Linked DNA regions of Cricetulus griseus. The protein of the gene in region 1 interacts with the protein of each later gene in a pairwise test. Links are inferred from orthologs where the notes say so. Each region holds a gene or a part of one and is shown in the gene's direction. Other genes may lie near its edges.

Region 1 (9,841 bases):
AGTGATATGTCATATATTAGAGGGGATTTGCCTAGAAGCCACAGGGATGAATTAGGCCAAACAAGGGGTGAGCAATGAATGCCTATGAAGAGAACTAAAACCATCCCAAGATAATTTGGCTGCAGACCTGCAACACTGTGACATCCCAGCTCTCAACAGCCATGGAAGTTCACAGCCAGTTAATCGGTCTTATAGAACCTTTATATATAATAGGTGTGGCTCCCGCCACCCCAAGTTCAGTTCACACCTGTGATCACACCTTTTAAAATAATTTATCTAACTTTCTTTTATGGGCATTGGTGTGAAGGTGTCATATCCACTGGAACTGGAATCACAGGCAGTTGTGAGCTGCCATGTGGGTGCTGGGAACTGAACCCAGGTCCTCTGGAAGAACAGCCAGCATTCCCAACCACCGAGTCATCTCTCCAGCCCCTGATGAAACTTTTAAACTTTCCCTAAACTTAGCAGTGTTCAGAAAATCCTAAAAGGGAGCCTAAGGACAGATTACAAGCCCAGCCTTGGGAAATCTCAAACCCATCAAGAAATTCTAAGAAAAACTGTCTTTATGGCAATGTTATCTACACCCCACAAACCAAACTGTTGATCTTGGTAGGGCCATGTCTCCTGCCTGGCCACTAGAGAAAAGAATGAGTCTAGGACTTGAGTAGTATGAGTGTGATGGAATATTGCCTTACCCCCTAACAGTCCTTCCAATCTCATCTTCCAGTTGGTACACAAAGAGATTCCTGTAGGAAATACTCACAAATATTCAAAGTTAATGGTGACTACTATTTCCATTGTTTTCTATGAGTTCATGAGTCTCTAGCTCAGTAGTTCTCAGCCTTCCTAATGCTGGGATCCTTTACAGTTCCTCATGTTGTGGTGACCCCACCCCAACCACAAAATTATTTTCATTGCTACTTCATCACTACTTTTTTCTACTGTTATTAATTGTAATGTAAATATCTGTGTTTTCCAATGGTCTTAGGTGGCCCCATGAAAGGGCTGTTCAATCCCAAGGGGGTAATGACCCAGAGGTTGAGAACCACTGCTCTAGCTGAGCGGGTTGGGGTTTTACTGTAAATGGAAGAAAACACTAAACAAGTGGCTTTAAGTGCTGGGCTATGTAGCTCAGTGATAGATACTTAATATTTGAAAAGCCCTGGGTTAGGCCATTCCCACATCTCAAGTGAGCAATAACTTAAAGTAGACACTTGCTTTTCTCCAAAGGGCAAGCTTGAAGGGCTGCCCAGGATTGTCTCCTGAGACAATTGCTTCTTGACCTCCTTGCCATTCTCAATGTGTGTCTACTCCACCCTGGCCCAGCATGGTTTTTCAGGTCAAGTCTACACTCCACATAGGAGAGAAGGGGACATGGGAAAGAGAGGGCATTTTTCCTCCCACTAGAGACACTTCTAACACTGCACAACACCTTTACATCTGTAGTTCCAGAACACAGTCATTGGCCACACCCAGCCAGAAGGGGGCTCGGCGGCGTGGCCTTCATATCACAGGTCTTGCCAACTCAGACAAAGTTTCTGAAGAAAGGAACACCGGGGCATCCCTGCCAGTCATTCACCTACTGTTATTAATTGTAATGTAAATATCTGTGTTTTCCAATGGTCTTAGGTGGCCCCATGAAAGTGCTTGTTCAATCCCAAGGGGGTAATGACCCAGAGGTTGAGAACCACTGCTCTAGCTGAGCGAGTTGAGACAGAATGTCTTATTTATTTATTTTACATTTATTTACTTATATGGGTGAACGAATGTCACAGAGTGGGTGTGGGGGACAGAGGACAACTTGTGGAGTAGGTGGTCTCTCCTTCTACAAAGTGGGTCCCAGAGTCAAACTCGGAGCATCAGGTTTGGTGGCAATGCTTTTATCCATTGAGTCATCTTGCCTGTCCCAATAAATGATTCTTTTCACCTCTCTGTAGACCAGCCTTCGGTGTTAATAAATTCTGTTTCATAGTTTCCAGGATGGCCGCAAGATGAGTTCTCAGCCTTTAATCCCAGCACTCTGGAGGCAGAGGCAGGCTGATCTCTGTGGGTTCGAGGCCAGCCTGGTCTACAGAGCGAGCTCCAGGATAAGCTGCAAAGCTACACAGATAAACCCTGTCTCGAAAAACAAAACAAAACAAAAGATGAATTGTTAGCCCAATTCCATGAGCCTTTTTCAGTAGTGGACTTGGCTTCTGGATCTTAAGCCAAATTCAGGGAGAGAGAGCTTGATTGGTTGCACCAGGTCTGGTGACACCACCTCAGTCAGCACTATGCTAGGACGCCCCTTTAGGGTGGACTGGAGCAGATCTCTAAGATACATGGTGTAGGGGCCTCTGCTAAGCCTGCATTACAACTTCCCTCTAACTGCCCTTTGCACTGTGTAGGCTGTCTGTCCTTAGGGAAGGGGTAATGGGGTGGAGGTGGGGCCTTGCTCCTGTCTTTAACCCATAGCCTTGGCATAACATCAGATGCAAAATGAGCAATCCAATGTAGCCCATAACTTTACTAAGGTTGGAAAAAAAAAAACTTTACTGAGGTTGGAAAAAAAAAAAGAACAACCTTTACTGAGGTTGAATGCTGGATAGATTTCAGAAGAAAGTTCTGTCAAGGGCTGTACAAGGGACTATGTGCCTTGACTCTAGTGCCAGAATCGATTTCCCAGAATTATCCAGATAATTGTCGTTTCTTTTGTTTTGTTTTTGAGACAGGGTCTCTCAGCATGGCTATCCTCACCATGCAGATCCACTGCCTCTGCCTCCTGGGTGCTGGGATAAAAGGCATGTGCCATGTGTGTCCAGCCTTTCTTTTCTTTCTTTTCTTTTTCTTTTTTTTTTTTTTTTTGAGATGAGTTTCTTTTATTGTGATTTTATTGTCTCCATACCAAGAGCAGCTTAGAACTGGATCACCTGGCCCTTTCTCTTCTTATCGCCTCCCAGTTCAAAATGCTTGCATCTCTTAATAGCCAGCATCCTCTTAGATCTGCAGTTGGGCTCAACACACTCAAGCCTCAGCACAATCTTTGTAGTTTTAGCCTTTTTTCGGAAAATAGGCTTAGTCTGCCTACCATAGCCACTCTGTTTCCTGTCATAACACCGCTTTCCCTGGGCATACAAAGAATCCTTGCCCTTCTTGTACTGTGTCATTTTATGGGGCTGGTGCTTGCCACATTTCTTGCAGAACGTCCGGCGGATCTTAGGAACGTTCACCATGTTGGCGGGCAGCCTTTCTTTTCTTTACATTTTTTCTAGACAGGGCCTCATGCATCCCAAGCTGGCCTCAAACTCCCTATGTAGCTGAGGATAGCTCAGACTTCCAGTGGACCACATCCTCCGGCCTCTACTTCCCAAATGTACTCATAATTCCTGTTTATGTGGTGCTGGGACTCTACCAACTGAGCGAGCCACCCAGCCCTGGTTACAATTTCTGTCTCACTGTTCAGCACTTGGTGTGTGTGCCTCTGCCCAGGACTAGAGAGAAGCTCTCTCCTGGCCCAGCATATCATCCCAACATTTGGGAGGCAGAGGCAGTAGTTAACGTCCGAGGCCAGTTTTGTACTTGCAGAGTGTTTGAACCAGTCTGGACTACACAAGACCACGTAGAGAGAGGGGGATGGGAAGAGAGAGAGACAGAGAGAAAAACATAGATAGAGATGGGGAGATGGAAATAGGGGAGGCACACTTACAATCCCAGCATTTGGAAAGCCGAGGTTATCCTCCGTTACACACGGAGTTGAGACAAGCTTACATGATCTTGCCAAACACACATGCGCACATGTATGTATGCACACACAACAACCCCCCGCCACACACACACAAAATGCCTTACATGTGGCCCATAAGAGTTCAAGCTGGGGCTGGGCAGTGGTGGTGCACACCTTTAATCCCAGCACTCGGGAGGCAGAGGCAGGAGGATCCCTGTGAGTTCAAGACCAGCCTGGTCTACAAGAGCTAGTTCCAGGACAGCCTCCAAAGCCACAGAGAAACCCTGTCTCAAAAAAAAAAAAAAAAAAAAAACAAAAACAAAAGAGTTAAAGCTGGAGGACACCGTCTATACTGCCAGTCCCTTGCCTGTGTCAGCGTTCCTGCCAAAGCTCTATTCTGGACCCCATTAGGGCCAATACTGATCAGGCCTTGCCCAAAATGAGGCTCTGCATGCAGGAACACTCAAGGAGCTGGGCTCAGGGATGAGGCAGAGACTGAGGTGAAGACAAAGGCATTTGTCAGACTGCTGTTTGGGGACACCGGATGCAGAGGAGAGCGAATGTCCCCTCCTTACCACTCCTGTGCTCATCACTTGTCTTCCCTCACGCCTCACTACACTTCTGTTTTTGCCTCACCTGTCCTTGCAGGCATCTAACCCTCTGTGGCAATCCCGGGGCTCCACAACTGTATCTTCAGGAGGTCGTTTCCGCTGCCCATCTTGCAGGCATGAGGTTGTCCTGGACCGGCATGGGGTCTACGGCCTTCAGCGGAACCTGCTAGTGGAGAATATTATTGACATCTACAAGCAGGAATCCTCCCGGTAAGCTGCCTGGGCTGCTGACCTCTCTGGAGGGAAGAGCCTGCACCATCAGGGATAGAGGGGTTGTCTTAGTCAGGGTCACCATTGCTGTGATGAAACACCATGACCAAAAACAACGTGGGGAGGAAAGGGTTTATTAGGCTTAGGCTTCCACATCACAGTCCATCACTGAAGGAAGTGAGGATCAGAAACTCAAACAGGGCAGGAACCTGGAGGCAGGGGCAGACGCAGAAGGCATGGAGGGTGCTATTTACTGGCTTGTTCCTCATGGATTGCTCAACCTGCTTTCTTATAGAACCCATGATCATAAGCCCAGGGGTGGCCCCACCCACAATGGGCTGGCCCCTCCCCCATCAATCACTAAGAAAATGCCCTACAAACTTGCCTACAGCCCCATTTTATGGAAACATTTTTGTTTTTGTTTTTGTTTTTGTTTTTCGAGGCAGGATTTCTCTGTGGCTTTTGGAGGCTGTCCTGGAACTAGCTCTTGTAGACCAGGCTGGTTTCAAACTCACAGAGATCCTCCTGCCTCTGCCTCCCAAGTGCTGGGATTAAAGGCGTGTGCCACCAACGCCCGGCTGGAAACATTTTCTTAATTGGGGCTCCCTCCTCGAAAATAACTTTAGCTTGCATCAAGTTGACATAAAACTATCCAGCTCTTGGGTGGGGACACATATATCCACAATAGGGAAAGAATCGGACCCAGAGAGGAGGGAATTGGTCTCCTATCCAGGAAGCCTCACTTTGCCTCTGGAGCCAGTGTTAAATCTTACTCCCCCTGGTCTATGACCAAAGTCAACCCCAATGTGCTTAACCTCACCTGCTCCCATGATTCCCTGTCCTGTGGGACATCTTTGCCCCCCTGCAATGGACTCTTCTTGGGCCCAGTCTTCCTTGGAGCATCTTTGCCTCCCCAAAGTAAGAACCCAGTGTGAGTTTCTCACCACTGGTCACAGCCTGACTCCCTGGAAATTGCTGCTCCCTTGTCCATGGTCCTCAGGCCACTGCACTCCAAGGCTGAACAGCACCTCATGTGTGAGGAGCACGAAGATGAGAAGATTAACATCTATTGCCTGAGCTGTGAGGTGCCCACCTGCTCTCTCTGCAAGGTCTTCGGTGCCCACAAGGACTGTGAGGTGGCCCCTCTGCCCACCATTTACAAACGCCAAAAGGTATCTAGCCAGGGAGGGATTGGGGAAGGGGGTTTAGGCTGGGACAGTTCCCATTCTGCTTAGGTAAGGTGTAGCAGATCAGGGCCAGAGCACCAGGACTATTCTTGACTTGACACACAACCTTGAGGATGTCTCTGCCCCTGACATCCTTCGTCAGACCAGGTGAAGATGATGGTTGCTGTCACCATATCATTAGATAATGCATGGCAGCAGTGGCTTCCATACCGAGCACTGGACACCCTCAAGGGTCTTTAGTCATGCAGTTAGCTTCTACATATGCTGTCATTTTTAAGATCAGATTGGTTGGGACATGAGAAGAAAGGGGGGTCCTAGGAAGGGTGGGGAGGACAGGGTCAGAGAGCCACTGCAAGCAGAATAGGTTTTGTTTCTCAGATGAGCAGTGCTGGCTAGAGGGAGGTGGCTATATTACAAACCCTGTAAAAGGTATGTTGGTAAGGGTGCGTTCTAAGATTCCCAAAACCTCAGCTCATGTTGGAATCCCAGAATATTAAAGCAGTCAATTGTATCACCAGACTTGTGACAGAAACAAATGCAAATTCTAAGCTGGAGGAAAAGCCCTTCATTGTAGACCCTTAGCATGACCTTAGATTAATATCAATGCAACAGTCATTCACAACTGAAGATACACGGAGAATGCACTCTGTAGCCAGGCAGTGGTGGCGCACGCACGCCTTGGGCTCTGAGAGCTGCTGGTAGCAATGGCTTTACCAGAGGCCACAAGAATATACAGCAGATGGCAATTGACAGTTGAGGTGTTGAGCCATCAGAGGAATAACTCTCTGTTGGAGAAAACCTCATCAAGTAAGACTTCACAGGTCCCCAGACTATGAAAACTGGTTGCTGCTATCTGTAATTTTTCTCATGTGCCACCACATTCCTTCCCTAAAAACAGCTACAGGTATTTCCCCACTGCCTGTGTGTTTACCTCATACATACATACATACATACATACATACATACATTCCATCTACTGGCACACATACAGCTGGGGATGGTCAGGAAGATGATTTCTGTTTAGCTGTAAAATTTTTATGAGTAAAAATAATACTAAAATATTTTTCATAGCTCAGACTGACATAAAGAAATTACATTATTCTCAGTTACAAAGACAGCTTTTTACCCCATTAGCTGTTTTTAGACCTTAAAACAAATTCAAAATAGACTAGTTACCCCTGCAAAATATGCACAAGGGCAACTTGGAGTTCCAAGCCAGCCTGGACTATATAGGGAGACCCGTTGTTAAAGAAAAATGAAGATGAAATAAAACAACAAGTAGGATTGGAGATGTAGTACATTTGCCTTGCACAAGATCCAGGGTAGATTTCCAGAACTAAAAACATATGTAAAATGACCATGCAACAGTCTGTTGAGGTGGTGTACACTGTAATCCCGGCTGGAGCAAGAGGATCATAAGTCCAAAGTGCCAGATTAGAAAATAGAGAAAGGTCCAATCAAAAACAAAACAAAACAAAAACTCCAAAACAAACAAACAAACAAAAAACAGACAGAAAAATAGATTTGACAAGGAACCAAGTAGAGCTTTTAGGAATTAATAACTGTTGAAAAACCAGTGGATGGATCAAGTGATGGATTTCTCACAAGAAAGAATTACTCAACACAGAAGAGTGCAAACAACAAACAAACATTCAAACATATAAACAAACAAACCCAGAATGCACTGGGGAGTGGGAGGTTGAGGATGAGAAAGAAGGTCTAACATAAGTCCTATTGACTCACAGAATGAAAAGGACAGAAGGGAGGCAGGGTTGTTGGAATGGGCAGCCCTAGGAATTTTTCAGAATTAGTGGAGGACATAACTACTGTTAAAGCACAAGGCCGGAGACTGGTGCACAGTGGGTAACTAGAGACTGGTGCACAGTGGGTGATTAGAGACTGGTGCACAGTGGGTGATTAGAGACTGGTGCACAGTGGTGACTAGAGACTGGTGCACAGTGGTGACTAGAGACTGGTGCACAGTGGTGACTAGAGACTGGTGCACAGTGGTGATTAGAGACTGGTGCACAGTGGTGACTAGAGACTGGTGCACAGTGGTGGCTAGAGACTGGTGTACAGTGGTGACTAGAGACTGGTGCACAGTGGGTGACTAGAGACTGGTGCACAGTGTTGACTAGAGACTGGTGCACAGTGTTGACTAGAGACTGGTGCACAGTGGGTGACTAGAGACTGGTGCACAGTGGGTGACTAGAGACTGGTGCACAGTGGTGGCTAGAGACTGGTGCACAGTGGTGGCTAGAGACTGGTGCACAGTGGTGATTAGAGACTGTCACTTCCCTTCACATTTGGGAGTGGGGGCACCTAGAATCCACAGGATGTGTTCCCATGTTTCTTGAACTATTCCAAGCCTTCTAGACCTTTGTAGATGCCCCTGAATAGGTGAGGTGGAGACAGTCCGTGGGATTGAGGGAAGCTGCTGCAGGCTGGGGCTTCCAGCTCTAACAACTAGCCCATGTGTGTGACAGAGCGAGCTGAGTGATGGCATCGCGATGCTGGTTGCAGGCAATGACCGTGTGCAAGCAGTGATCACGCAGATGGAGGAGGTGTGCCAGACCATTGAGGTGAGCCTGGGCCGGGAGGACAAAGGGACAGAATAGTCAACAGTCTGTCTGGGATCCTCATATTCAAAGAGAACTGTTTCTCTTTGACCTCTGGTCAAACTGGCCAGAAAGTTTCTGGACACTAGCTCATGGTGAATTGTTTTTAGCCAGGTTGATCCTAGCACTCTGCAATGTTGGTCAAGTTGCTTAAATCTTCTATGCTTTGGCTTTGTTTGTTTTTTGACTATATATAAGATAGAGATGACCAGTGGGGTGGAGGTAGAATAATAGCAAGTTCCAGGCCAGCCTAGGCAAGTTATGGAGATACTATCTCTAAATAAACCAATTAAATAAATAAGCAAGCAGGCCGGGTATTGGTGCACATGCCTTTAATCCCAGAACTTGGGAGGCAGAGGCAGGTGGATCTCTGTGAGCTCGAGGCCAGGATAGGCTCCAAAGCTACACAGAGAAACCCTGTCTCGAAAGACAGACAAACAAAAAAACCACAACAACAAAAAAGCAAGCAGGGCATGTTAATTCAAGACAATGCCAGCACTTGGAAGCTAAAACAGGAGGATTTCCCATTTAAAGTCCAGTTGACCCATCTCAAAAATAAATGAGTAAGGATGAAGAGATGGTCCAGGAGTTAAGAGAAGGTATTACTATTGCAGAGGACCAGAGTTCAGTTCCCAGCACTCACACTGCATGGCTCAAAACTGCCTGTAACTCCATCGCCAGGGGAGTTCAATTCCTCCGCCCTCCTCAGGCACCCACACAATGAAATCGTGGGAATAAATAAACAAGCAAAATAAAAAATTAAAAGATAAAAGAGGCTGGGAGGTGAGAGTAATCAGACATTATATATGCATGAAATAATTAATGAATACATTTAATTAAAAATTATGTGATAAGAACTAATTATATACCCTTATAATATAGTTAACTAAATATATTTGAATATTGATACGTATTTCCAGTTAATAAATTTCAGAAATTTAGATTTACTGTTTTATTTTCAATTATGTGTATTTGTGTGTGTCTGTGTATGGGTTGTGCACATGAGTGCTAGCCCCCATGGAGGCCAGAGGAGCTTGTTGGATTCCTTGGGTTACAAGAAGTTGTGAACCCTCTGGCATGGATATAGGAACAGAATTCAGGACCTCTGCAAGAGCAGGACACACTAACAGGGGAGTCATCTCTCCAGCTGTCTAACCAATGTCTACATTTTGAAATAAGGCTTAATTTCATATCAGAGCAGAAAATTAATTATATAAAACTCAAATAATGTTTAAAAATGATGCTGACAGTGACATGGTAGCTAAGTCGTTTTATTTTATTTAAGAAGCAAGTGGAAATTAAAGCAAAGCAAAGCCAGGGCCAGTGACATACATGGCTCCCAGAGCAGCTTTGAAATATGTTGTCTTCCTTGTTAATTGAAAAGATATGAGCTGGGTTCTGTGCCTCTAACTCAAAGTGTGACCCTAATCACACTTTCCTCCTTTGCTCTCCTGAGTTCTATTTAAGGGGTGAGAGGGATAAAATACCCTGCTCTGGCAGCTCTGGGGGTGC
Region 2 (9,841 bases), on another chromosome or scaffold:
GATCTTCTCTAGACTTTGAGATAAGGGAGAAAGGTTGAATGGAAAGATACATGATGGGGACAGGTTGAAGCCACTGTTCCTTGGGTCCTGACATCCTATCGAGAGTCTGGAAGGTTAGAGATTTCTTCATCTAAAGTCACTTGGGGGTCTTCTGTCTCTTGGTCATCAAGCACCCCAAAACCTGCCTACTCCACAGGGAGAAGAAACCAAAGGAAGGGATGGGAGGCTTTTCAAGGCGTTGCTCCAAGCTCATCAACTCCTGTGAGTACCTTGGAACAGATCTCTAGGCTCGGGTGTGCTTCCCCCTAAAGTGGGAGGGACAGGTACTCTTGACGGCCAGCAATAAAGTGGTGGTGTCCAGATGAAAGGGTTGCCAGAGGTCAGCTGTAGATGGCAGTTTCTGCTGTGGGCCTCCACTCACTTCATTTTCTCAGGATTTTCTCCTCCCATGAATCCTCACCCGTAGCCCAGCTACTTTATCAGGAGTACAGTGATGTTGTTCTGAATAAAGAGATCCAGAGCCAGCAGCGACTAGACAGCCTGGCCGAGGCACCTGGACTCTCTTCCCCCCGGCATCGGCGAAAGGCAGTGGTGCCCTCAGACTCCTATCTGCAGCGTCTGTCCATGGCCTCCAGTGGCTCTCTCTGGCAGGAAATCCCTGTGGTTCGCAACAGCACTGTGCTGCTCTCCATGACCCATGAAGATCAAAAACTGCAAGAGGTACCACCCAGGGCAGGGTAGGGGACAGGAGGGAGAACAAAATCATATATGCTAATGTTTTATCTCCTCCTCACCTCTGCCACCAAGAGCAGACTGTCCCCAGCCCACACTCACCTGTATTCAGAGACTGCTCACCGCCATGCTGAGGAATGTGAACTGCTCTCACAATCCGGGCACGTTCGCCGCTTCCCACATCCGTGCATATGCCATCTGCTCCTATCTGTACTGGCTTGGGCTCATACAGAGTGACCATACCCCTGAATCTGTTGGGAGGGATGTGACAGCAAGGTCATCACTGCTGCTTCGTGATGAGCTATTATCTCCGTTCCACTTGTACAAGGATTTCAGACAAGCCACACACTCAGTCTTTGTGCTGGCTGCTTTGAAGAGGACAACCGGAAGTTGTCCCTTGGTTCTTTGATTTCTCTAAGGCTTTAATATGACCCTCTAAGGCTTTAATATGACCCTGCTTGGTCATCACTCCCAGTATCAAGACTTCAGGGGACAATGCTTATCTGGTTCTAAGCTGCCACCATTAGTAAGTTTTCCATAAGCAGTTTCTGCTTTCAGATCTGTCTGAAACAGGAGGAGGAACCTTTCTTCCCAGGAAAAAAGGAGGACACAGTGGGATAGGCTCCACAACCAATGATCTAGACATGAAGCCTTCGTTAATATGTGTTGCTTGACTTTGGCCAAATCATGTGCTTTCTCTAAGCCATTGTTTCCCTTTGTTAAAACAGACGCAAGGAGTTACCAGGAGAAAAAAAAAAAAAAAAAAAGATAAATGGTTACTACAGAATAATCAGTCAGAAAATATGACTATTTGGATTTTGATGATGCAGACCCGGCTTCATGTACTAGCCGGATAACCTCAGACAAGCTGTATAAAACACGTGTTGAGAAAATCACTAACCTGTCCTGTATATATTTCTTCCCATCAAATAATGGGAAGACCAAATGAACTCTAGCTACCCCTCCGTAAGTCTCCAGTAAGCTAGGAAGTTGCAAGGGTCCGGATTCCAGCCCATCCCTCCTGACTTTGTGAGATGAGAGACCTATCTCATTATCTTATACACACATGTTCATGCCATGAGGTAACGTCTTGGGAGTCTGCAATGTTCCTTCACGGACTCCATTCCTTTTAACAATTGTGTTTTCTGGAGTGTGTATGTGTAGGGGTTGGTCGCCATATCTATATAAAAGGACAAAACAACACAAACCCCAAGCTTCAGAAGTTCAACTGAGCCCACTTAAGCCATATGGTCTTAGAACATTATATGGAGAGTAAATGTTGGTGTCACAGTCTGGGGTTGTATAGGAAATTCCTGTGTGGTTGGCTATCTCAGTGATCAGCAAGGGATGTATATATACTGAAGCTCCTTGCTGAGACGTGACAGGAATCTTCCTTTGGTTGTGTCTGAGTCATTTTGTCCCCTGCTGGAGCCTCCATACACATTCTTAAGTGCTTGGTTTCCGGTTTAAATGAAAACATTTTTCGCATATCCTTGTTTTTCCAATTCCATTTCTCCTCAGACCTCAAATTGAGCTTGTCACCTTCCTCCCTAAGTCATTTCCTACTTCAGAGCACTATGGCTTCATCAGCAATTCCATCATCCCACCCACTACCCAACCGGAAAGCAAGGTGTTGGCTTTGGCTCCTCCTATATGCCCCACTTCTAGCAAATAGGCAGTCTTCCAGGTCTGCCTGCCTGGCGCTTAGCTCAGTCTACTTCTTCCCATACTTAGACCAGCAGGCCTTCAGCTCGCATCTAGACATGTTGCCATTTCCCTACATTGCTCCTACTTCTTCTAGTCCTTTTCCACAGTTTCCTAAAAGACACTCCCATTAAAAAAACAACAATAATAACAAAAAACAAAAAACCTCCCCAGCTAATTCCTATACTTGGAACATTTTTCCTTCCACACCTCTGTAAGCTCATGTTGTGCTCTGTTGTTTATGTAACCACCATGCCTCATGCCTCATTCTCACTCCTACTGGTTTCCCTGGCTTTCTTTCTTTTTTCTTTTTCTTGTTTTGTTCGTTTGTTTGTTTAATAAAAATTCCAGAAATGCTCAACTTACTTGTTTCTTTTCTAAAAATAAATTTCACTGTGCTTATGTAAAGTATTAACTACCTTGTCATGAGGTATAGCACAGTATATTTTGTTGGTAAAATTGTTACTGTGATGTGGTAAATTAACATATCTGTGAAATTATAGTTATTTGTGTATGTGTACAAATAAATATTTATATATATTTATTTTAGAGGCACTCATATTTACATATCCATCCCCCCATTCCATTGCTCTCCCATGCTCCCATGGCCTCCCCTATTCCCCCCCCCTCCCCAGGGATAGTGAGGCCCTCCACGGGGGACCGTCAAAGTCTGTCATATCATTTGGGGGAAGACCTAGGCCCTTCTTGCTGTATCTGGGCTGCAATAGTATTCCCTCCCTAGGGAATGGGCTACAAATAAATAAGTTTCTTGAAAGTATAGAGAATCACACATATTGTTCAGTTCCTAGGTTGAATCTTACGTCCTCAAATACTCTACATATCCCTGATAGACTAAGCTAAATTTTGTGACTGTGAGTGATGAAAAGATGTACCTTATTCAATGCTCCACCCTAAAACATTGTTCAACAACTGGTATCTACCAGAAAGTTCATAAAAGTATTCATTAATCTTCCTCTTGTCCAATCCTCTAGGCCAAATTTGAGCTGATTGTGTCAGAGGCATCTTACCTTCGCAGTCTAAACATAGCTGTGGATCATTTCCAACATTCAGCCCAACTCCGGGCCACCCTGTCCACCCAGGATCACCAGTGGCTCTTCTCTCGTCTACAGGACGTGCGCGATGTCAGCACCACGTGAGACTTCTTCCAATCTCCATTCTCTCAGCCTCACTTTTTGTAGCCATTGAATCTTCAGCTTCTTTTCTCCCTCTTAGAAACCTTGTCTTTGTCAGAGTCTGGAAAGGAAGAGTCTCCAAGGAAGAGGGGTAGGAAAAACTAAGAAGAGGAGATAGTGTGAGGGTTCACGGTTCTATTAACAGATGAGTGAGGAGAAATGCTTCCTGGATTGAGGTTTTGGCATACATTCTGGGCGTGCCCTGCAGTGGACACAAGGTATTAAAAAAAAAAGAAAAAAAAAAAAAAGATCACTGAAAGATTGGCAAACCAGAAGAGAAGGAAAAGGAATAGGCTATTAGAATTCTATTTAAGTTGATCAGGAATAAGCTAGTGCCAGCCTTGGGAAGGATGTGCTGCCTAGCAAGGGCGGAGCTGAGGAAAGTCAGGAGAAGCTGGTGATTCATGGAAACTGGAGCTGCTCTCACAATGTGCAGGGCTGAAGTGTGCTTAGCTGAGGCCCCCGTTCCTCATGAGACTGTTTAAATACTGTGCAGGTTCCTTTCCGACCTAGAAGAAAACTTCGAGAACAACGTCTTCTCCTTCCAAGTCTGTGATGTTGTTTTGAATCATGCCCCAGAATTCCGCCGAGTCTACCTGCCTTATGTCACCAACCAGACCTATCAGGAGCGCACCTTCCAAAGCCTAATGTGAGAATGACCCCTATCCCTACCCTTCGTGGACATTGCTGTGACCTTGCACTGGACTTGTTCTTTTGTCCACTGTGTCAGCTGGCGTCTCGGCCACTCTCCTTATCAGGTCCTCTCTGCAGTCATATCTGGACCCTACACATGGGCTCTTAATGTTCTTCCCAACCCAGATCCTCCACTAAATCCCATTCCCCATGCCTTCACTGAGCCCCTTTACCCCCACCTCCCTCCTCACCTGAGTCTTGCTTCTCACATAGGAACAGTAACAGCAGTTTCCGAGAGGTCTTGGAGAAGCTGGAGAGCGACCCCATCTGCCAGCGCCTGTCTCTCAAGTCCTTCCTGATACTGCCCTTCCAGCGTATCACCCGTCTTAAGTTGCTGCTCCAGGTAGGGCACCAGTTTCCTTGACTCAAAGACATGATCTTGGATTGCTTGTAGGCAAAAGATCATCCGTTCTTCTATGAAGTTTCCACCTCGTGTGGAGGATGTCAGAGGTTTCCCAACTGCCCTCACCTTTCTTTCTCAGAAACCTTTGCTTTTGGAACTGGGTGTCTGACTTCTGCATCAAATATCCCTGACTTATCTCTTCCTGTTTGTCCATCCTTCCTCCCATCCGGCTCTTGCCCACTATTTGTTCTACAGAACATTCTGAAGAGAACGCAGCCTGGCTCCTCAGAAGAGGCAGAGGCCACAAAGGCACACCATGCCCTGGAGAAGGTAGGCAGCCATCACATCCAATAGCCTATTTGTACTCATTCAGGGGTAAGTTTTCCCCCCGCCCCTTCTCCGGGTACCATGACTGAAAAAGGTCTGAGACATGGGTCCTGATTAGCAGGAGAGCTCAGCCATCTTGTTGTATGCACTAAACTTATTTTTTTCACATTCCATGTCCAGCCACTATGTTCCCAACACCACAGTCCCTCATCCCAATGTATTCTCTGAAATCTTGTAAAGTATTCCAGCAACCTAAAACATGACTTGGATGCTATTTCATTCAACCCCAACCTGGTAGAAAAGACAGAGGTCTGCAGGCATCTTCCCAGACAGCTTTAGGGGGACTGAAAACTCGAGACACTAACCCAGTGATCTTACCCTTCCTTTCCCCTGCTCCTTTGTCAGCTGATCCGAGACTGTAACAACAATGTGCAGAGGATGCGGCGGACAGAGGAGCTCATCTACCTGAGCCAGAAGATTGAGTTTGAGTGCAAAGTGAGCTGTCCTTCAAACACCTCCCTGCCTATGATCTCTTTAGCTTGTCCTGGAGGCCATCTTCTGACAGAGTCATCTTGCTTCCATCACCTCTAGCCTCCTGGTTCTGTCTGCCCTTGTCTCCATTTCTGGAATATGCAAATGATCCTTTTACTTTACAACACACGTTATTAGGTGGAAGGCGTAGCACTGTGTGTGGATTTTATTGCCTTTGGTGTAAGAGTAGAGGATGTAAATCTGTTGATGTATGTGCATAAGGAAACTGTCAGGATAATCAGAAAGGGGGGAGGGGCAATTGTTCCCGGAGGAGCACTCACTAAATGGCAGAAGGAATTTCCCAGAATAAGGCTATATAAGAATTTAGAGATGAAGAATGGTTGACTCACTTATTTTATCAGATCACCTTTAACCTAACCAGAAACAACATGCCAAAAACCTCAAAATCTCTTGTCCAAACAAATAGAAAATTGATCTTCAACATTGAACTCCTAGTGTGTTGCAGATACCACCTTTACTTCCCCAGAAGAGAAGGGAAGTCCTTCTCTAAGTTCTGCTGAAGCTTTTTGCCCAGGTCCCAGGTCCCAGCAGATCCCACCTTGATCTTATCCTCAGCTTCATGCCTGATTCTGCCTGTCCGTCTTGGCTCTGACCATCATTAGGGAAACATCCCTATCCCTATCCTTTGACTTTTAAGATGTCATGTTGTGCCCTCCTGCTTATTAATGTGTTCTACTTGGGCTCACAGACTTCTGCTCCCAGACCATCACTTTTTAGATCAGAGTCACCTTCCTTTGAGCATGGGAACACAGGAGCCACACACTAGTGCCGTGTAGTTAGAGGGTTCCGAGAGACACAGGATCTGGATGGGTTGGTTCCGAGGAAGAGGGAAGATCTGGAATTGGTGATCCACAGGTTGGGCAGGACTGAGAGGAAGCTCATGACCTGCCTTTTCTCTCTTCCTGATCTTAGATTTTCCCGCTCATTTCCCAATCTCGATGGCTGGTGAAGAGTGGGGAGCTGGTGGCCCTTGAGTTCAGTGCCTCCCCAGGGCTGAGGAGGAAACTGACCACTCGTCCAGTCCACCTGCATCTCTTCAATGACTGTCTGTTGCTGTCCCGACCCCGAGAGTCAGTGGCTGGGATGGGAGGCCAGGGGATACGATAGAATGGGATAGGGCTGGAGGGACACCAGATGACGGGCTTCTAACAGATCCCTTCTCAGACAGTTCACAGTGTGAGTCATGAGTCATAGCTTAGAGAACAGAAGTGGGGAGTTAATGTTACCAAATTACATCATGAAATCATAGAACCGGACCTGTCCCATGTTATAGACATGAGTAAACCACCGCAAAGAAACACCATCTTCTTAAATAAGTTTATCTGTGGCTTCCCTGGGTCATGCCCAACATATTAGCCAATACAGCCACTTGTCTAGTTTCAGAGCTTAAACTCTGGTCATTAGGATCTTAGAAAGTTAACATTGGTTCTTATCACTTCAACTCTTTAAAGTAGTGAATAGCACTATGGCGGTAAAGGGTTGGCTGAGACACTGAGATTATTGCATTGAGAGCAAGTTGAGCCCTCGTATGGGTTTTATATGAAGAGTCTGTAACAGCTAAGATCAGGAAGTTTGAATCCAAGACTATGAGTGTGAGGGTGGATGAAGTACAAAAGCTATAGAATCAGACTTAAAAGACATATCTTGCAGGGGCAGCCGGTTCCTGGTGTTTGACCATGCTCCATTCTCCTCCATTCGAGGGGAGAAGTGTGAAATGAAGCTGCACGGGCCTCACAAGAACCTCTTCCGTCTGTTCCTGCTGCACAACACACAGGGCACCCAAGCTGAATTCCTCTTCCGCACTGAGACTCAGTGAGATGGGGCTGGGCACAGGAGCTGGGGGTGGGTGTCCCTGGACAGAAACACAGCCGGACCATGGCCTTGGCACTTCTGGAATGGGGATCATTGATAGAGAAACCCAGGGCCCTACAGCTAAGCAGCAACTCGAAGGAGATTCAGTGTAGGATGGACTGTCCTAACATCTGCTTTCCAGTCTGTGCTCAACAATTGCAAGGCCTGTGAGACATCAGGAGGGAGATGAGCTGGCGTGGAATGAGCAGGGAATTCGGTTGCTGTGTCTGTGAGATACAGCTCATCTGTGCAGCTCAGAGCCCAGGCTGTCAGGCACTTGTGTGAATAAAAAACACCATGTATGCTTTCTGCTTTTCCTCAGTCACCTAGCTTTATCCTCCGTTGAGCAGAAATCTGTAGTATTAAGACATATGAGTTGTAACCTTTCCAGTGATAATAGCAAATGAATACAATCGCATCTATATCTTGTTTTGAGAGTTAAAATGATAACTGTAGAATGTGGCACACAATATAAGAAATTAAAGAACACCCAGTAACTTTCCTGGTGCTATATGAGACACAGGAAAAACTTGTCTGTAAAACTGTTAAACACTTTCATGGTTTAAGACTCCGCATGATGGGGAGCATGGTCCCTTGCAAGACATTTCTACTGAGATCAATGGTCCCTGTCTTCATTCTCACAGAAGATAGTACTTGGGTTTGTACTCAGGATTTCACCTGAGACAAATAATCAGATGTAGCTTTTGTGTTCTTTTTTAGAGCTTTGGGCAGCATCTTTATGGAAAAGTGTCATTCTCAGTAACTTAGGTACAGAGGATAAGATAATATAAAAACCTTCAGATGATCACAAATTAGGCTAATATCACATATTACAACAAAAACAGCAATGAAATGGATATAGCTCCTTGGCTTACTTATTATGAAATAGTGATTTCCATCCTAGATATTTAATTGAAGGGAGGTGAGTGAGGACCAAGGATCATGCAGAGTGGTCAAGTCTAAACAGATTTCCAGACTGGAAAATGTTAATGCATGTGATGGACAGTTCACACCTTTATGTTCATGCATGTGATGGACAGTTCACACCTTGTGATTCTGTGAAAGCTATGCCTGAGGAGAGAAAGGGAGGAAAAACAGGCTACACTAACACATAACACAGCATCACACTGGGTTTCCAACCGGGCAGGATCCCATTGGCTTTAGGAGTCATTGAAGTAGACAAGTCCTTCTGGTAGCCACTTGCCTTCCCCACCACTGGCCCTCAGCCTATGTCCCCAGTTTGTAACTGAAGCTATGATTGATTGTCTTGTATTTTTTTTTTTTTCTTCAGAAGTGAAAAGCTTCGGTGGATCTCAGCCTTGGCCATGCCCAGAGAGGAGCTGGACTTGCTTGAATGCTATGGTACGTAAAGACGCAACAGAAATGGCAGTGTCCATCTGTGGTCTCCTTTGGATGAAGGGTTGAGTGTGCTGGGGGCTTCTATGTATTGCTTTTCCTCAGAATGTCATGGTGGATTGCTGGTGGCTGAAGCTTAAATTCCTGTGATACATCTTCTTAAAAACTGGCATTCCCCATGGCAGTACCTTTCCTCATGCATTCACTGTTTGTTCTTTGTAGAATATATTTGTTTTTTGTAGAATATATATTCCTTTAAATCTTATCTGCTACCATTTTTTACTTACTTTTACCAACTGAAGATGTAAGATGGAAATAGTGTAGCTACAAGGCAGATGACAAGAAAAAACAACACAGCTTTGGTCTGGCTACAGCCAGACATCTAAGGCTGTTTGTCTTGAGCACAGGGTAGCCAGAGCCCAGAGCATGTCAAAGGAAGACTGGGTCTTTTGTGGGTAAAAAGAACAAATGAGTATAATGAACCTTGGAATAGGATCTAGGAGAACCCAACTGAACTCAATGCTGTTTTCTTGCTGTAAAGTCCACTGGTTAGCTTCATTTATGGTAGGTAAAGAGGATAGCATTTTCTATGGCTGCAAGATGATGCTGGGCTTTAGAAGAATGGTGCACTATTAATAATGTAGCATTCCATTTATTTTCTGCAAAATCAGTACAGCAAAGTATAAAGACAAACCCATCTGAGATTGCTTCTAGGACATGCGGACTGTGAACTGTGTTCCCTTGAACTTAATTATAGTCTGTGGGAATGCTGCCTGGCTCATAAGCAAACATCTAGAATTTCCTCATGAATCATTTTGATCAATGATCATCTTGATCACTGGGTGGTGGTGGTGGTGCACACCTTTAATCCCAGCACTCGGGAGACAGAGGCAGGCAGATCACTGTGATTTTGAGGCCAGTCTGGTCTCCAGAGCGAGTGCCAGGACAGCCAGGATTACACAGAGAAACCCTGTCTCAAAAAGCAACCAATCAAACAAATCTTGATCACTTACACATGAGGAAACTAAGGCAAACGGAATCAAGAGCACTAAGAAAGTCTAATGGTAGAAGCCTATTTTTAAAGGAGAGG
Region 3 (9,841 bases), on another chromosome or scaffold:
ACCCATTTGCCTGTCCTCACAGGTAGGGAGAGGGTAGGCAGGGCATGAGAGCACAGCCTGGGCACAGAGAGGCGTGGCAGCTGATCACACTCACTGACCAGAGGGTGGACTCACTCTCCAGCACTCAGGAAGTTCCAGGAAATGCTAGGCTAAAAGTACAGGTCACTTGCCCTAGGCAAAGTGGTGTGGTCAGGGACCCTTGCCACTGTCCCCTTGTTTTACAGATGGGAAACAGGCTGTGGGCTGAGGAACATTTACCTAAAATCACACAGAGCTGGGATGAGAATGTATATGGCAGTCTCAGCTGCCAGCTCATGACCCTGTGTGGTGAGCTGGGAATGGATCAGCACAGGCAGGCTGTGACCAAAGGGTCAGAGGTGGTAGGTGGTGTGTGAGGAGCACCTAAGGGCTACTTGCACTGTGGAGAAAGGAAAGGGCATTCAGCAAGGTGGACCCTGTATCCCCATACCCACCGGGACAGACTTGGGGTGTTGAGTCAGCGGCACTCAGTAACGGGTGCTGCAGGGGCTACAGCAAGAATTGCCCTGGAAGCTGGTCAGGGTAGAGTAGGTGCCATCTGAGAAAACCAGGCGAGCCCTCAGATTCAGGTTCATGCTCTTCTCAGTCCATTCAGGGTCTGTCTGTCCATCTATGAAAAGGCTTTTAAAGTTTAATATGGAAAAATGGCTTTTGAATCCCATCTCTTCTGAGAGAGAAACTGACCTAGAGCAGAATGGGTTGGAGTGAGATAACAGGAAGAATTTCCTTGGAATGATACGTCCTTCTTAGCTGTGTGGGTCTACTGGGGTCTATATGGAAGTGGAGACTCAAGCCCTTGGTAAAAGTCACTCTGCGTCATTGATTTGTCCTCTACAAGGTGATCTCAAGTTTTCAGCTTCCAGCAAAGAACACAGGTCCAGTACCCACGGAACCAAGGTTGGCTCTGGCACCTGTGGGACCACGAGCAGCTGTGTCACCTCCCTCAGAGGGACCAAGGCCAGCTTTAGCATCTCCCCGGCCCATCCCAGCTTCACTCTCCACCCCTGGAGAACAGAAAAGACCTCCAGTCCACCGCAGCTCCAACCTGGCTTCAGCATCTGTGGGCCAGCTGGTGGTATCTGCCTCTGCAGGACCAAAGCCTCCATCAGCCACCTCAGTCTCAATCCTGGCTCCAAAGTCTCTTGGGCAGCTAGTAATATCTGCCTCTGCTATGCCAAGGCCACCTCAAGCTACCCTGGGGCCCATCCTATCTCCAACTTCCAGGGACCAGAAGCAGTTGTCACCCACCTCTGTAGAACCTAAGCCAGCATTGGCAGCCTCGGGCCTGAGCCTAGCCCTGGCTTCTCAGGAGCAGCCTCTGCAATCCCCCTCCAGTCCTTCCCCCGTGCCCAGTCCTGCTCTGTCACCCTCTCGGGAGCAGACCCTGGCTCCAGTATCTGTGACATCCGCTCCAGCTAGACAGAAGGATGCTGTGATACCCAGGCCCATTCCCCCCGCAGAGGGGTGTCTCCAGACTCCAGCTCAGGCAGCTGTTCTGGCCACTTCTCCACCAAGGGCCCAAGCTTCCTCAGACCCCCGTCTTTCCCCCTCCTTCCGTGCCCGACCAGAGGCTCCACGCCACAGCCCGGAGGATTCTGTCCTGCCGCCGCCACCACAGACCCTGCCCTTGGATGTGAGCCCAGGCCTTCCAGAGCCTGGCACCCGCTCCCCTGGACTTCTGTCCCCTACCTTTCGGCCAGGAACCTCCTCGAACCAGACTGTGCCACCGCCTCTGCCCAAGCCACCTCGGTCTCCCAGCCGCTCCCCCAGTCGTTCTCCCAATCGCTCTCCCTGTGTGCCCCCAGCCCCTGACACAGCACTCCCAAGACCTGGCATCCAGGGTGTGGGGCCTGGCAGGTGCCCAAGCCCTAACCTACAGGCACAAGAAAGCCCAGCCTCCACCACCACCTCACCATCTTCCTCTTGGTCAGCTCAGCCTACCTGCAAGAGTGACCCCGGATTCCGGTGAGGGGCTTTCTCTCATGCAAAGTTACTGGGGCTTGAAAGCAGAGACTGGCCATTCTTTCCGGATGGTGATGCATTTTTATTCAGTTTACTTCCTAAGAATTTATCCTGGGGAGAGGGGGCACTGCTGGGCCCACTTTGCGTCTCTTCTAAGGGCCCTTATATCTTTACCTGCCTCGGTTTAACTCCCCAGAGAGAGTCCCGTGAGGAAGAAGGGGCGGGTGGGGAAATGGTGCCTAGCAGTAAACTCCCCTATGCCCCTTCCTCCAGGATCACTGTGGTTACATGGAATGTGGGGACTGCCATGCCCCCCGATGATGTCACATCTCTTCTTCACCTGGGCAGTGGCCATGACAGTGATGGTGCAGATATGATTGCCATAGGGTGAGGAGTCGTGTGAGTGGGTCCCACCCCTAGCATTTTGGCCCCCTGGAAATTCACCCTTAGAAGGAATTTCTAAAATAGCCCTCCAGTTGGATGGTTGTTCCTGTCCCCCTCACCTCCCAGGTTGCAAGAAGTCAATTCCATGATTAACAAGAGACTCAAGGATGCCCTCTTCACCGACCAGTGGAGCGAGCTCTTCATGGATGCGCTGGGGCCCTTCAACTTCGTGCTGGTAATAACACTGACACCCTCTTGGGAAGCAGGGACACTTTTGGATTCCTGCTCTCATTTCTGAGGGGACTGCTGGGTCTCTATGGCTGGGCCTTTGAATTAGGGAGATGGGGAGGTGGGCAGGAGGCAGAGGCTGGGGGAGAGCTGTATGTGGAGTGTCCCCCAACAGGTCTCCCCTGCAGGTGAGCACTGTGAGGATGCAGGGTGTCATCCTGCTATTGTTCGCCAAGTACTACCACTTGCCCTTCCTGCGGGATGTGCAGACAGATTGTACAAGGACTGGTCTGGGTGGCTACTGGGTGAGCGAGGGAAAGGGTTTGAGTGTGCCCTGCCTCACACTTGTATCCTTCACCCTGAGATTCCACCAACCCAAGAAACACCCATCACTATGCCCACTCCTTTAGACTGCACCCCTTCTCTGGCCCTTCCCTGTCCCAGCATGCTGTTTCTTTCCTTAGAACCCATCCCTGCTTAAACTTAAGCCTCCTCTGCTCCTTACCTGCTCTTATGCCCAGCCCAACCCAGGGACTCTCCTCCTGGCCCAGGTCAGATCCATGACCTGTCAAACCTCACTCCTAGGGTAATAAGGGCGGAGTAAGTGTGCGCCTAGCTGCCTTTGGACACATGCTATGCTTCCTAAACTGCCACTTGCCGGCACACATGGACAAAGCGGAGCAGCGCAAGGATAACTTTCAAACTATCCTTAGCCTCCAGCAGTTCCAGGGACCAGGTGCACACGGCATCCTGGATCATGAGTAAGTGGGTTTGCAGAGTGCGTGCGGGCTGGGTGGGTGGGGAAAGGTGGGCCTATTGACTGGTGTGAGGGATCCACTCATACCTCCTGCAGAAAAATGGAGGCAGATAGGAGTTTGGTGGGGCAGGGTGGGTCCTGGAAGATGGAGTTTTGCTGAGGGGCACTGTCTTGCTGAGGGTCCTGACCTAATTTCTCTAGACCCTCTTACTCCTCCATCCCCATTTTCCTCCATTCCTTGGCTGACTGAAGGCTCTGGTAGCTCCCACCCACTGGCACCTCTAACGGCATGAGTGTTATGGGGTTGGATAGGTGCCAGGAAGGATCTAGATTGAGCCTTTGCACCCCATGGGCCCACTGACCCCTATCCCCACCCCGGAGCAGCCTTGTATTCTGGTTTGGGGACCTGAACTTCCGAATTGAGAGCTATGACCTACACTTTGTCAAGTTTGCCATAGACAGTAACCAGCTCCATCAGCTCTGGGAAAAGGACCAGGTAAGAATCATAGATTCCCTCTCTCTCGCCTCCCTCAACCCGGAACTCAACGAGCACCTCGGGTTTCTGCCCTCACCCTCATCTGTCCCATCCTATCTCTGGATGCTTCAAGGCCCAAGCTGTTTGTTGTTCTGCCTTTCTGGACCCCCACAGCTCAATATGGCCAAGAACACTTGGCCCATCTTGAAAGGTTTCCAGGAAGGGCCCCTTAACTTTGCTCCCACCTTCAAGTTTGATGTGGGTACCAACAAGTACGACACCAGGTAAGTGGTGAGATGGGGCGGGATGAGGGAAAGGAGCCCGTGAGAATAAGGACGGGAGATAAGCCTGGGGCTGTGCTTTGACACCATCCCCAACTCAGACGCTGAAACTCTCCTACTCAGTGCCAAGAAGCGGAAGCCAGCCTGGACAGACCGTATTCTGTGGAAGGTCAAGGCTCCAGGTGGAGGTCCCAGCCCCTCAGGACGGGAGAGTCACAGGCTCCAGGTGACCCAACACAGCTACCGCAGCCACATGGAATACACTGTCAGTGACCACAAGCCCGTTGCTGCCCAGTTTGTTCTGCATGTGAGTCCTGGTTGCATCCTCCCCTTATGATGTCCCTTGGTCAGGCTGAACGTCCTCTATCTATCTGCAACCATTTCCACCTGTCCTTAACAGCATCCAGTTTTTCAAGCAAGGAGACCGTGGCTGAGACGTGGCCTCCTTTGCCCAGGGCCACACAGTAGTAAGAGGAAAAGGAAGTATTTGAACCCAAGACAGTTTGATTGCAGAGCTCATATCTTTCCACTTATCTATAACTGACTTCCTTCTTCCAAGAAATGTTTAGGGCAACAAATTAAAATTTGAATGTGGAAGCAGGAGAATCCAGAGTTCAGGACCAGCCTCAGATACATAGTGAGTTTGAGGCCAGTCTGTGGTATATCAGAACTTGTCTCAAAAAAAAAAAAAATTCACATATATAATAAGACCAGCAAAGTTAAAATTTCTACTCAAAGCCCAGGTGACATTCATTCATGGTTAATTTGGTGAATAATCATCACCTTATCATATGGCAGGCATTATGAAATGGGCAGTGATGAGAAAGGAGAGAGAGGGAAAAAAAGACAAAGCCAGGTTGTGGACATACCAGTTGGCAGACTGGCTGCCTAGCATGTCCAAGGCCCTGGATTCCATCTCAGGACCCAACTCAGTGCCACAGTCTCCTTATAAAAGATCTACAGATAAAAATATTTGGAGAAAAATGTGTCAGGAAGGGGGCTGGAGAGATGGCTCAGGAGTTAAGGGAATTTACTGTTCTTGCAGAGGACCCAGGTTCAGTTTCCAGCACCGGAATGGGGCAGCTCACAATCATATAACTCCAGATCCAGGAGATCTGTTGCCTTTAGCTTGTGTGGGCGCCCACACACATGCACAACCCTCCCACACACATATACCAACAAAGTTGTAAAAATAATTTTAAAATATTGTTTTTAAAACATGCTTATATTAAACACATATAGACTTTTCTTGTCATTTTCCTTAAACCATGTAGTGTAAACAACTACCTTCATGGCATTTGCATAATATATATGTATATACATATATAATGTAAGGATCATAAATAGTCTAGAAAGAATTTTAAGTATATAGAGGGATATACATGTTGCATGCACATACTATATACTGTTCCACTTTTTTTAGTGTGTACCGGGGAACCAAACACACTCAGATCCTCAGGGATGACTTTATTGTGTTTAGAGCTGAGGTTCCTAGTTGTCAAAGTAAGAGGGCAGTTCTAGAGTCTTAAAAGCTGTTTGGAAGACGATGTAGTCTGTGATTTACTTTGAGGTAACCTCAGTCTCCTACCAAGATGGCCGTGTGCCTCCAGTCACATAAAGTTTTGGCGGCAGAGGCAGTACTGGGTAGATCCCATGTTTCCAACCTCGAAACCTAAGCTGTGTTTTCTGGGTTTCTTGGTCTGAAAAGAAGGAGCTCTGGAGGCCAAAGAACGTTTCCCCTAGTAACTTTGTCACATGATCAGTCGTGGGCCTTAAGCCAATGCCTCTTCTGGGGATGGAGATCAGCCCAAGCCTGGCCTCCTGCAAACTCTGGGACAGGGACAGGGTGGGAGATTTTGCTATTGTCGTTTTTAGATTGCTTCTTGCTTTGTACTAGGCTCCTTTAAGCTCATGACCCTCCTACCTCTGATTCCCAAGTGTTAGGGTTATAGGCATGTGCCACCACACCCCAGCTCCTAATCAGGGATCTCAGCACTTTTGCCTCACTACCCTGTCCTGGCTGTGGTGGATAGGGAAAAAACATTATTACCTGGGGCTTGAGATCCAACTCAGTGGTAGGACATTTCCCTAGAATGGGGAAGGTACCCGGTTCGATCCCAGCATTGTGAAAACAATTAAAAGAAAAAAAAAACTTTTTAAAAAGTTAACATAAGCTGGGACTGGTGGCCTACACCTATAATTCCAGGATTCAGAATAGTGAAGCAGATGACCAAGAGTTCAAGGCCAGCCTGGTTCACATAGTGAGACCCTTGGTCAAACAACAATAAAGTTCAAAGCTGCTCTGAATTACACAGAGAGTTTCAGGCCCCCCTGTTATATACTTTCCACGCATCATCCCTTGAATGCCTTAAGCCCTGAAACGTCCAAAGTCTCCTCTCCAGTTCACTGTTGGGAGAAACTGAGGATAGTATTTATTTTATGCATGTGGCTGTTTGGCTGTATATATTTCTGTGTAGCTGGTACCTGTGGAGGCGTCAGATCACCTGAAACTAGAAGGTGAGACACCACGTGGGTGCTGGGGCTTGAACTTGGGTCCTCTGGAAGAGCAGACAGTGCTCTCAACCACTGAGACATCTATCTCTCCAGCCTGTTGTTTGATTTTTTTTAATTACATTTATTTATGTGCACAGGTCTCTCCAGCCTCTTGCTTTGATTTTTTTAAAATTACATTTATTTATGTGCACAGGTGTGCACTCCCTGGAAGAGGTCAGAGGACAACTTTTGGGAGTTGGTTCTCTCTTTCCAAATGTGGATTCCAGAGATTAAACTCGGGTCATCCTGAGGATAAAGTGTCTTTATGCACTGAGCCACCTCACAGGACTTGTTTTTTGGTTGTTTGGGGATTTGTTTTATTATTGTTTTATTTTTCTTGTCTTTTTTAGAACAGTCTCTTGTAGCCTGGTCTGGCCTCCAACCAAGTATGATCCTAGAATCTGGTCCTCCAGCATCCACCTCATACTAAGGTTATGGGCCTGGACCACTGGGCCTCTGCAGGGATTGTGACCTTGCAAAGCCTTGGAGTACATTTCAACCTCTCCTTCTGTTAGGAGCCTGGGACAGGGAAAGAATGTACTGGTTTCATCTGGAACAGCTAGGCTCAGAAGTTGAGGGAAGGAAACCTGAAACCAGATCAACAGGGACCAGACAAAGGCCTGAGGTTGGCACCACCTGAGCTCTTTCTTAGGGACACAGGTGGCCAGGACTCTGGCTGCTTGCCACTGCAGAAACTCCACCTATCAGGTGGCTCTCTGGCTGTCCTGGCTGGTCTTAGGGGAAAACACTCATGATGATGATCTGTCTCCATGGCCCTTAATGGTAACATTCAGATGGGAGGAACTGAGTTAGGGGATGGCCAGGGTCTTGTCTGTGGTCACACACCAATTTAGTGACAGAGCTAGAAAATGAACTGAGGTCTCCAGCCACCCACTTCTGGGCTTGTGCTGGCTCCAGGAAACCGGGCTTATCCCAGAATCTCATACACCACAGAACTTTACTATCATTTAGGCAGTTTGAGGAATATGTTACAAATTGCATTTCAGGGAATCAGTAGTACAGCCCCGGGTATAAAGCAAAAGCATTCATCACTGGAGAGATGGCTCAGTGATTGAAAGAATTCACCAATTGCTCTGCCAGAGGAACCAGGTTCAATTCCCAGCACCCACATGGCAGCTCACAACCATCTGTAACTCCAGGCCCAGGCACCAGGCACACACATAGTGCACAGACACACACATGTAGAAAACACTCATAGTCATAAAACAAAACTTTTTAAAAATTAAAACTAAACAAAAGTGAGCCAGGCAGTGGTGGCATACACCTTTAATTCCAGCAATCAGGAGACAGAAGCAGGCGGATCTCTGTGAGTTCGAGGCCAGCCTGGTCTACAGAGCTACACAGAGAAACCCTGTCTTGAAACAAACAAACAAACAAAAAACAAACAAAAAAACTGGACAAAAGTCTCTGGATTCACAGACAAGGGCCTGCTATTCAGAAAAGCTGAGGAAGTAACCTTTGTATAACCAACCATGACTGAGTCAAGGCCAAATCTAAGACTGGCTGTCTTCAAGACTATGTTCCACTCACTTCCTAAGAAAGCTGAGGATAAAAAGGGTCCCAGAATGGAGGCAGGGATTTTTGTTTGTTTGGGTTTGGTTTGGTTTTTACCAGGTTTTTGCAACAGTTTCACTATATAGCCCATTCTGGTTCACCACTTGTGCTGTCCAGGCTGTCTTCAAATTATAAATCCTCCTGCCTCAGCCCCCAGTAATACTGTCATTACAAACATAGCTCACTACCCAAGAGCCCTAGGAATGTGAGGTGTTAAAGGGCATCCTCTGACATTGTCCTCTGTTCCTGCCTTGCTTTGGACAGTTTGCCTTTAGGGATGATGTGCCTTTGGTACGGCTGGAGGTAGCAGATGAGTGGGCACGGCCGGAGCAGGCTGTGGTGCGGTATCGCGTGGAAACCGTGTTTGCTCGGAGCTCCTGGGACTGGATCGGCTTATACCGGGTGAGAAGGGCAAGAGTCTGGGGCTCTCACGGAAGGAGGGGGCCTGCAGCCCCCCTGGAGAATCACTGGCTTATCCCCCGTTTGCTGTTCTGCTGAGACGCTTCTGGCATTAGATGTCCCAACCCTTGGTTCCTCTTTCCCTAGGTGGGTTTCCGGCACTGCAAGGACTACGTGGCTTATGTCTGGGCCAAACATGAAGAAGTAGATGGTAATATCTACCAGGTACTTACAAGGAGTGGCGGGTTGAAGGCCCCATTGCCTTGGGGACACCAGGATTCTGCTTGGGGGTGGGGGTCCTGAGGCTACACCTTGGCCCCAGCTTGGGCCTCTACCCCTGTGCCCACCAGGTCACCTTCAGTGAGGAATCACTACCCAAGGGCCACGGAGACTTCATCCTGGGTTATTATAGCCACCACCACAGCATCCTCATTGGTGTAACTGAACCCTTTCAGGTAAATAGATCAGACCCTAAGGCCAAAGCACGTCATGAAGTCCCAGTCACGTGTCAAATCTTCTGTGTCTGTGACCTCAGACCAGTAGCCCAACCTCTCTGGGTCCGCCAACAGGAAGGGAGAAAGTGGGCAGGCTAGAGAATGGGATTGTCCCAATGGCCAGTATTCTCTCCAGATCTCGCTGCCTACCTCAGAATCGGCCAGCAGCAGCACAGACAGCTCAGGCACCAGCTCGGAGGGTGAGGATGACAGCACTCTGGAGCTGCTTGCACCCAAGTCCCGAAGCCCCAGCCCTGGCAAGTCCAAGAGACACCGTAGCCGCAGCCCCGGCCTAGCCCGCTTCCCCAGTCTTGCTCTCCGTCCTTCATCCCGTGAACGCCGCGGTGGCAGCCGTAGTCCCTCACCCCAAAGTCGCCAGCTGCCTCGGGTAGCCCCTGACAGAAGTCACAATAGTGGCAGCCGAGGTAGTAGTGAGGAGGGGCCCTCTGGGCTGCCTGGCCCTTGGGCCTTCCCACCAGCTGTGCCTCGAAGCCTGGGCCTGCTTCCAGCCTTGCGCCTGGAGACCGTAGACCCGGGTGGTGGAGGCTCCTGGGGACCTGACCGGGAGGCCCCTGACCCTAACAGCCTGTCCCCCAGCCCCCAGAGCCGACTGGGGCTAGAGGAAGGGGGCTTGGGGCCCTGAGGTGGGTAGGCACATGGACCTGGACAGCCTCACTCTGCCTCTACCTTCCAC

Evidence for each region.
Region 2: the proteins of Trim54 (region 1) and Arhgef5 interact in binary tests that used the Homo sapiens proteins (3 or more experiments, as listed by UniProt). The two-hybrid records come from large-scale screens. The link is inferred for Cricetulus griseus from reciprocal best matches to the Homo sapiens genes TRIM54 and ARHGEF5.
Region 3: the proteins of Trim54 (region 1) and Inpp5j interact in binary tests that used the Homo sapiens proteins (3 or more experiments, as listed by UniProt). The two-hybrid records come from large-scale screens. The link is inferred for Cricetulus griseus from reciprocal best matches to the Homo sapiens genes TRIM54 and INPP5J.

The regions. Positions count from the first base shown.
Region 1 is NC_048600.1:13,247,942-13,257,782, reverse strand, and holds part of Trim54 (tripartite motif-containing protein 54), read left to right. Parts: intron 1-2,848; exon of another isoform or gene 2,849-2,894; coding exon of another isoform or gene 2,895-3,212; exon of another isoform or gene 3,213-3,223; intron 3,224-4,351; coding exon 4,352-4,524; intron 4,525-5,524; coding exon 5,525-5,696; intron 5,697-8,197; coding exon 8,198-8,293; intron 8,294-9,841. Other genes in the region: 60S ribosomal protein L36a-like, read right to left, coding at 2,895-3,212. UniProt on the Homo sapiens protein: May bind and stabilize microtubules during myotubes formation.
Region 2 is NW_023276806.1:226,136,687-226,146,527, reverse strand, and holds part of Arhgef5 (rho guanine nucleotide exchange factor 5), read left to right. Parts: intron 1-196; coding exon 197-261; intron 262-466; coding exon 467-720; intron 721-3,428; coding exon 3,429-3,589; intron 3,590-4,125; coding exon 4,126-4,278; intron 4,279-4,535; coding exon 4,536-4,665; intron 4,666-4,920; coding exon 4,921-4,995; intron 4,996-5,397; coding exon 5,398-5,487; intron 5,488-6,456; coding exon 6,457-6,614; intron 6,615-7,194; coding exon 7,195-7,356; intron 7,357-8,686; coding exon 8,687-8,757; intron 8,758-9,841. UniProt on the Homo sapiens protein: Guanine nucleotide exchange factor which activates Rho GTPases. Strongly activates RHOA. Also strongly activates RHOB, weakly activates RHOC and RHOG and shows no effect on RHOD, RHOV, RHOQ or RAC1.
Region 3 is NW_023276807.1:101,395,225-101,405,065, forward strand, and holds part of Inpp5j (phosphatidylinositol 4,5-bisphosphate 5-phosphatase A), read left to right. Parts: intron 1-877; coding exon 878-2,004; intron 2,005-2,274; coding exon 2,275-2,388; intron 2,389-2,511; coding exon 2,512-2,620; intron 2,621-2,801; coding exon 2,802-2,918; intron 2,919-3,198; coding exon 3,199-3,374; intron 3,375-3,754; coding exon 3,755-3,866; intron 3,867-4,019; coding exon 4,020-4,129; intron 4,130-4,249; coding exon 4,250-4,433; intron 4,434-8,518; coding exon 8,519-8,656; intron 8,657-8,800; coding exon 8,801-8,878; intron 8,879-8,975; exon of another isoform or gene 8,976-9,003; coding exon 9,004-9,108; intron 9,109-9,283; coding exon 9,284-9,790; 3' UTR 9,791-9,841. UniProt on the Homo sapiens protein: Inositol 5-phosphatase, which converts inositol 1,4,5-trisphosphate to inositol 1,4-bisphosphate.